Callithrix jacchus: one gene and its partner. The protein of the gene in region 1 purifies or fractionates together with the protein of each later gene. This does not show direct contact. Links are inferred from orthologs where the notes say so. Each region holds a gene or a part of one and is shown on either strand. Other genes may lie near its edges.

The links.
Region 2: the proteins of PLCG1 (region 1) and RASA1 purify together in Homo sapiens (affinity purification with western blotting; 3 studies listed by BioGRID and IntAct, with this or other methods). This does not show direct contact. The link is inferred for Callithrix jacchus from reciprocal best matches to the Homo sapiens genes PLCG1 and RASA1.

The regions. Positions count from the first base shown.
Region 1 is NC_133506.1:36,482,049-36,485,648, forward strand, and holds the start of PLCG1 (1-phosphatidylinositol 4,5-bisphosphate phosphodiesterase gamma-1), read left to right. Parts: upstream 1-1,084; 5' UTR 1,085-1,149; intron 1,150-1,632; 5' UTR 1,633-1,745; coding exon 1,746-1,962; intron 1,963-3,600. UniProt on the Homo sapiens protein: Mediates the production of the second messenger molecules diacylglycerol (DAG) and inositol 1,4,5-trisphosphate (IP3). Plays an important role in the regulation of intracellular signaling cascades.
Region 2 is NC_133503.1:123,500,129-123,504,151, reverse strand, and holds part of RASA1 (ras GTPase-activating protein 1), read left to right. Parts: exon of another isoform or gene 1-1,188; coding exon 1,189-1,361; intron 1,362-1,642; coding exon 1,643-1,802; intron 1,803-2,881; coding exon 2,882-3,024; intron 3,025-3,294; exon of another isoform or gene 3,295-3,371; intron 3,372-4,023. UniProt on the Homo sapiens protein: Inhibitory regulator of the Ras-cyclic AMP pathway. Stimulates the GTPase of normal but not oncogenic Ras p21; this stimulation may be further increased in the presence of NCK1.

The DNA of each region.
Region 1 (3,600 bases):
TCAAGAATGGCTTCAGAAAGACAGAGTACGAATTATTCCATAACCAGAAAAAGGCCTTGTGGCTGGAGACTGGAGAGTGAAGGGTCACCTGTGAGAGATGAAACCGATCCTATAGAACCTGCTGGGCCAAGCAGGGAGTGTGGATTTTAGGTGCAATGGGAATTCATGGAGGGTTTTAGGCTGGATGTAGCAGACCATGATTTAATTTCATTTAAAAATTTTAAAGCATGGAGAATAGATCCAGGCAAGACCAAACAGAATAAATAGTCTGGGTGACAGGAGATAGGGCCTTCAGCTTGTGGGTTGAGTGAACAAGTCATGATGGATTGGAGGTGAGGGAGAGAGATGAATCAAAGTTATCTGCAAGGTTTTTGGCCTTGCAACGTAGAGGGGTTTAGCACCACGTTCTGATAAAGTGAAGACTATGGAAGGAACCTTTAGGGAGGGAAGGTCAGTCGCCTAAGCGGGGATGTGGAACGTAGGGGAGCCACAGGTTTGAAGTCATCGGTGCCTTTGTGGTGGGTAAAGTCAGGGGAAAGGTCAGGTAGCCTTGGGATCTGACCTAGCACTGAGTACAGAGGAACAGAAGCTTCTGAGATCGATGGGCAGCGGCCACAGGAAGGGAAAGCAAGGCGGGGAAAATAAAAGTTCAGGAGAGCATTTGCAGGAGGGACGCTGTGAGGTAGGGTCTGAGCCCGCGCCCCGGATCGGACCCAAGTCCTGCTCGTGGGGACTGAGCGTGAGTGGGGCGAGCAGCGGCCCATGCGAGGGACAGACACCAAGGCCCTGGGAGCTGCAGGTCAGGCCGCTTAACAGCGCGGCCGCGGACCTAAAGGCCCTACAAGAGGTGCTCACGCTTGGGGGGAACTCTCTGAACGAGAGGACCATTGAAGGACACCCTGGCAGCAGAGACGAAACAGACAGACGTGGGGTCAGGTCGTCGCAAGAGCGGCCTGCGGGCCAGCCCCGCACTACCAGGGGGAGGGGGCGGGACAGGCTGGCTGTCCATCAGTGCCCGCGGCCAATCCGCAGGCGGCCCCGCCCCCGCCCCTCCCAGGAGAGGGCGCGCGGAGGACCCGCCGCCGCCGCCGCCGCCGCCGCGGGTGTGAGCGGCCCGGCCTGTCTCCCTTCGCTAGGAAGCCCGCCCAGGTAACTGGGTTTGGCCAGGCATGCCCGGGGAGTGCGTCACCCCCTCACGTCCCGTCCCGGTCGCTGCATGGGCGGTGTTCGGGACGCGGGGGTTGCGTCTGTGCAGAACCGCGGGCTGGCGGCCGCCCGTGCGAGTGCGCCTGACTGACGCGCCGACCGCGGGGCCTGCGGCCTGTGGGCGGGGCTGCCGTGCGTGACGGGGTCGGTCGTGGCCGCCGAGCTGTGTCCCGGGCCGCGTGAGGAAGCCCTGCGGGACTGAGGGCTGGGTGGGTCGACCGGGAACGGCGCGCGCTCCCGTCGCCATCGTGCCCCCGTCCCTGCCTGCGGCCTGTCTGGGGGTCCCGGAGCGCAGGCGCGGCGGGCCGGCGGGCGGGGGTCCTCCCCACGGGTGCGCGGGCGCCTTTGTTCCCGGCGGCTAGCCGGGCGGAGCCTCAGGGCCGCCCCGCCCCGCCGCGCTCAGGCCCCGCCCCTGTCCGCCTGCAGGAGCTGCCGCCGGGTCCCGCTCGTCGGCTGCCTCAGCCTCTGCCCCAACCTCTGCTGCCGCCTGCTCCCGGGCCGTCCCGGCCTGCGCCGCTGCCGCCCCCAGCGTCAGAGCCATGGCGGGCGCCGCGTCCCCCTGCGCCAACGGCTGCGGGCCCAGCGCGCCCTCGGACGCCGAGGTGCTGCACCTCTGCCGCAGCCTCGAGGTGGGCACCGTCATGACTTTGTTCTACTCTAAGAAGTCGCAGCGACCCGAGCGGAAGACCTTCCAGGTCAAGCTGGAGACGCGCCAGATCACGTGGAGCCGGGGCGTCGACAAGATCGAGGGGGCCAGTAAGTGCGCCCCCTTCCCGCCTGGGCCCGCCGCGAGCGGAGGTGGTAGGGGCCGGGCCCGTCTGTCCGCGCTCGGGTCGGCCGCCCGGGAGACTTGGGCAAACTTTCCGGCTCTCATCCACTCCCTCCGGGCCCCGCCCCCGCTTCGTCTCGGGTGGTCACTGGGGGCGGGGGGCATCCGGGTCCTCGGTCACCTGACAGGACACCCCCTCTCCCAGCTGGGGGGAGTGTTCCAGGCACTTTGTCCTGAGGCCTAAAAATCCTCGGGGGCTGGAGACCCGCGGTGCCGACGTCAGGTCCCCCAACCACTGGGAGTGGTGGCGGCGTCGGCGAGGGGAGCCAAGGCAGCGGCCCCCACCCAGCCGGGGAACTTGGGGCCTGACCAGACAGTCCCCGTCCACCACTCTTTCTCCAGAAAGAGCAGTCTGTGAAACTGGGCCCCCAGGCTGGGCTGTTATTTGCAAAGGAACTTTTGGGTTTCCTAAGTAGAACTTAGGCAGATGTTGGGGGAAGGGCTGGTCTTGGAGCAGAGCCCGGCCTACTCATCTCCCTCTGGGGGAGAGGGAGGAAGGTGGTCTTGTTTGGTTTGGAGAAACCTGAGAGAAGGCAGTGGCTGGTTTATTGTTATTGTTATTGTTATTGTTATTTGCTGCTACTTTTGTCCCAAAGCTGAGTTTTGGAGGCCTGTGTGGGTGGGCAGACACCCAAAGCCAGAGCAGGGACTCCCCTTGCCCTGGGAAGCACATTCCCAGGAGATGAGCCCCGTAAAGGCCTGCCCCAGTGCCTTGGAGTCAGGTACTCTTCTCAAGAGTGCAGCCAGTTTGGAGTCTAGCCCTTTGTCCTCTGTCCGGTGGCATCAGGGAGCTGGAGCTCTTGGTTTCCTGCCTTTTCGCCTTCCCAGGCCTGAGCTTGGCTGCTTTAGCGCTGGCCTCTAGTGGGAGGAGGGAATTGGGGGATTGTGAAAAACCCCAGATTTTTCAGAGTTGTTCCACTTATCGTGTGCCTGTGCTGTGGCCAGAGGGGCACTCTGCTCAGCCCTCCATTCCCCCCCTGTCAGTGTGAAGAGATGATGTGTCTGCAACTCCAGACTGGGTTGCTTCTTGCAGGGACCCCTGGAGACTGGGGTTAGAGAGACCCAGGCTCAGAACCAGGTCTGTGTGAAGGAGGGGTTCAGGAAGTGACACTCCAAGGGGGGGGTCCCGCAAACCTTGGGTACGGTGTGCATGTGTGTAGATGGGCGAGGAGATTGGGAGGAAGGAAGGTCTTGTGGTGAGGCAGCCATCCTCGGCTACAAACTCCAAATCTGACACAGATCTAACACAGCTGCTCAACTTAGAAATGGCAGCCGCCTTCCTCAGTGCCCTCACTGACCCTGTCAGCCATTGGGAGAACATTTTAGTGACTTGAGAGCCCGTGGATTCCAAAGTGAAGGAAGGATAGATAACTGCAAAGAACTGAGTTAACTCTGGGAACATTACTCAGGCATCAGACTCCAGGCATAGTCCCTTTCCTTGCTCTCTCTGCTATGTTGAGTCGGTGGCCCTGGATGGAAGTTCTCTCAGATCTCCTGGGTAACTGACTGCATTTTAAACCATGCATATTATCAGCAGGCAAAAAATGTAGCACAGTGTTTGATGG
Region 2 (4,023 bases), on another chromosome or scaffold:
CCCTCCTTTCTCCAATGAATAGGAAGAATAAGAAAATGATTACAGTGGTCGTTTTGAAGGGCTTACCCTCATCCCTTCTTTCTACTTTTTAGATTTTTCATGTTTTCTTTTGAGATGGCGTCTCACTCTTGTCACCCAGGCTGGAGTGCAGTGGCAGGAACTTGGCTCACTGCAACCTCTGCCTCTCACATTCAAGTGATTCTCCTGCCTCAGCCACCTGAGTAGCTAGGATCACAGGTGCCTGCCACCATGCCCAGCTAAATTTTGTACTTTTAGTAGAGATGGGGTTTCACCATGTTGGGCAGGCTGGTCTCGAACTCCATACCTCAGGTGATCCACCCACCTCGGCCTCCCAAAGTGCTAGTATTACATTAGCATATAAGCAAAAAAGAATTCTATTTAAAAATTACCCTTAACCTTGAATATGTCATTTATTCACTTCTGGTAGTCAAAGGCTCTCAGTTCCTGTTCTTAGCAGCACAACTCTTTCCATCCTGCTACTAAAACAGTTGGCAGTGGGATTTACCAATCACATCGGGGTGAATTAGGTTAATGCCTTCTTAAAACTCAGGCTTAGGGAAGGAAGTGATATGTATTAACAGACAGATCAAAGCCTAAATATTTCTCTATAAAATGTTTATTCTGTAATTTTTTTTGTACTAATTTTAGTTTTCCCTTTTACGATAAAATCCCAACCCCACAGTAATGACAAAGAAAGCAGGCCATGCCTTATATATAAAGTGTTCTTTTTTCACGACTTTTCTTCTTAGATATACCTCCAGATCTTGGCAGCTTAAGGGTTGCCTGTTTAAAATGGAGTTTTCACCGCCACAGGCTGAATTAGATATGGTTTCTCTGTATTCCAATAGCATTCACCACTGTTAACAGCACTTATCAATGCTGAAACATGACTGATTTCTTGCCATCTGGAATAAACTGACCCCCGTGCAACTTAAAGACCACATCTGAATCTTCTCTATACTTCCCCCACCTATCAGAGTTTAGTGCATGGTAGACATTCAATAAATGAATGAAGCAGTTAAATATTGAATTTGTGATGTTACTGAAAACTTTTTTAATGAAAAGAATTTAACACCATTGAGAAGACTGAACACCAGGAAAATTTACTTGCATGACTAATTATCATGTTATCTTTTTAGATAATAATTGCTTGTTTTTCTTCCCAAGTATTTATGCGTTGCCAGTTGAGCCGATTACAGAAAGGGCATGCCACAGATGAATGGTTTTTGCTCAGCTCCCATATACCATTAAAAGGTATTGAACCAGGGTCCCTGCGTGTTCGAGCACGATATTCTATGGAAAAAATCATGCCAGAAGAAGAGTACAGTGAATTTAAAGAGGTATTATTTGTCTAATTTTTGTTAGAATTAACATAAACATTTAATAAAAGATCCATTAAGCTAGACATAGTAATTCATAGCTTAGTGGCACAGTGACACCAGAGAAGATTAAAAACCTTGTATTATAGTGTGATTTTGATTAGACTAGAAATAGGTAGACTATGAATGTATTCTATTTTAAATAAATGTATTCAGTGGGGCATTTTAATTATTAAGAACTTATGAAAGAAAGAATGCTTAATGCTGTGTACTTTAAACCATCTTTTAAAATGTCATTTTAGCTTATACTGCAAAAGGAACTTCATGTAGTCTATGCTTTATCACATGTATGTGGACAAGACCGAACACTACTGGCCAGCATCCTACTGAGGATTTTTCTTCATGAAAAGCTTGAATCGTTGTTGTTATGCACACTAAATGACAGAGAAATAAGCATGGAAGGTATAGTATGGCTGTGTTAGTGTGAAACTTTAAGAAACTGGGTTTAGATTTTATATCACGCATATATGGACTCTATCTCTGAATATACTAAATTGTTAAAATGCAAATCAAGTTAATCTGTTTTCCCTTATTAAAAATTGCAGTTGGATGTTCTGCTTATGTCGGTTACTTTGGGGAGCTAATATTTCTAATGGAGGTTTTGGCAGATGAGTATTAGAAGCTCCAAGAAAGTGGTATCTGTGTCCACATCGATGGCTCATAGTGCTTGACTATCAAGAAAAGTCTGGCATACTTAACTATATTCTCTTACTTTTTACGTCATTGCACAGAAGTTGGGTGTCACCTGCCTTTTATTTCTAGCTTTTATAGATAGGTAGTTCCCAAGCTGATGGACACACAGTTTTTAATGACTTATAAATACATCGAAATAATTATCCTCTCCCTGCCCCTCCGACCAAGCACTTTGATTCAGTAACAGTTCTTGCTTCTAGATTCCCCAAATAGTAAAGTTTAGAACTATGTCCTCCTCATAAAAATTATAAAGGTATATAATTTGTCAAGGAATAGATAAAATGGTGGTCCTTATTTTACATTGAGTTTATCTTTTCTGACAGCATTTGTCGTTTATTAAAATTTTACTGCAACTCATCAGACATGTTTTAGGCTAATAAATGAATCTATATTGGGATTTTTTGTGTTATATTCGTAATTCTAAATAAATACCCAAATTTCAAAGCATGGGGTCCTTGGACAACACAGCTGATTTATGGTCCTAATTTTGTCACTAGCTAATTGATCTTAGACAAGTCACATAACCATTCTGAGTCTTCATTTTTCCATATAAACATGCAGTGTTAATCTCTTCTCCTGTTCATGATATGATGAGGTAATACATCTGAAAGTCTTACAGAGTTAAGTTGTAGAAGTATAGGATGTCATTGTAATTAGTACTTCAATGTTGCATGCAAAAAGTACATTTAAAAGGCTGTTCCTGTTGAGGTAAGATGAATTCACTTAATTTCCAATTTGGTCACATTGAGTCCTCAACAAATAATCTTCTAATGTAAATATTTGCATAGATGAAGCCACTACCCTATTTCGAGCCACAACACTTGCAAGCACCTTGATGGAGCAGTATATGAAAGCCACTGCTACACAGTTTGTTCATCATGCTTTGAAAGACTCTATTTTAAAGATAATGGAAAGCAAGCAGTCTTGTGAGGTAAGAATTTAATGTTTTAAGAAGTATTTTTTGCAAATAGGTAATAATTTAATAGGTAATTTGTAGCTCATTACATTTTAAGGAAAATATGTTAAATTTCTAAAATTATTCCTCATAGCAGTTATACCCTTTTGTAATACATTTATAAAAATGTTCTGCAAAATGAACTTTGAAAATACTTGGTCATTTCTTCTATTGTACTAACGACAAACTATATACTCCTTACAGAAAGTGTGCATACATAAACTGAAGGCTTTGCTAGTGACTTACATTATAACCTATGTAGCATTTCATAACATCTCGTTTTGTCCTTGAAGGTTTTTTTGTGAGAGGAGAATTGAGATAACCTCAACAAAAGCAAAAAAAAAAAACACCTTTTAGGATTATTAAAGCTTAAGTACAAACTCATAATAAACTATTAAGATAGTAAGTGGAATCTCACATGTATACCCTTTCATTTTAATGGTAAAGCGACTATAAAGAAATACATATTTTAGATTTGACACAAAAATCAATAAAGTAAGGAATTCATTTCTCACAGTGGACACTGGGATCTAGCAAATGTTAATCCTGCACAAAGATGTCAATTCATACTAATAACGTGAAGGGAAGAAATTAATGATTTAATGTTGGAAATCTGGAGTAATGCCATAGTTAGCCTAACATGAGGATGATACAGAAATGCAGCAAGTAGGTAGAGTCTCCAGACTTTAGAGACAGGCTACAGAATTTGGACTTCCATAGATAAATCTACTCTGCTGACACTTCTGAGAAAGGTTTGTGATTCTGCCTAAGACATTTGATACTTTTATTAGCCATTAAATAAGTCTCATTCAGAAAAGGCTTTTAATTGGCTTTTTCCCCCTCTAAATAAACATAATTGACTAATTACTGTTTGCTTTTCAGTTGGGTAATTGGGAATAAATGGTAAGAAACCTGCCAGAAGGAGTTTCATAGAGCAAACTACTTAAAAACCCCCATTTATACAAAGAAAAAAGA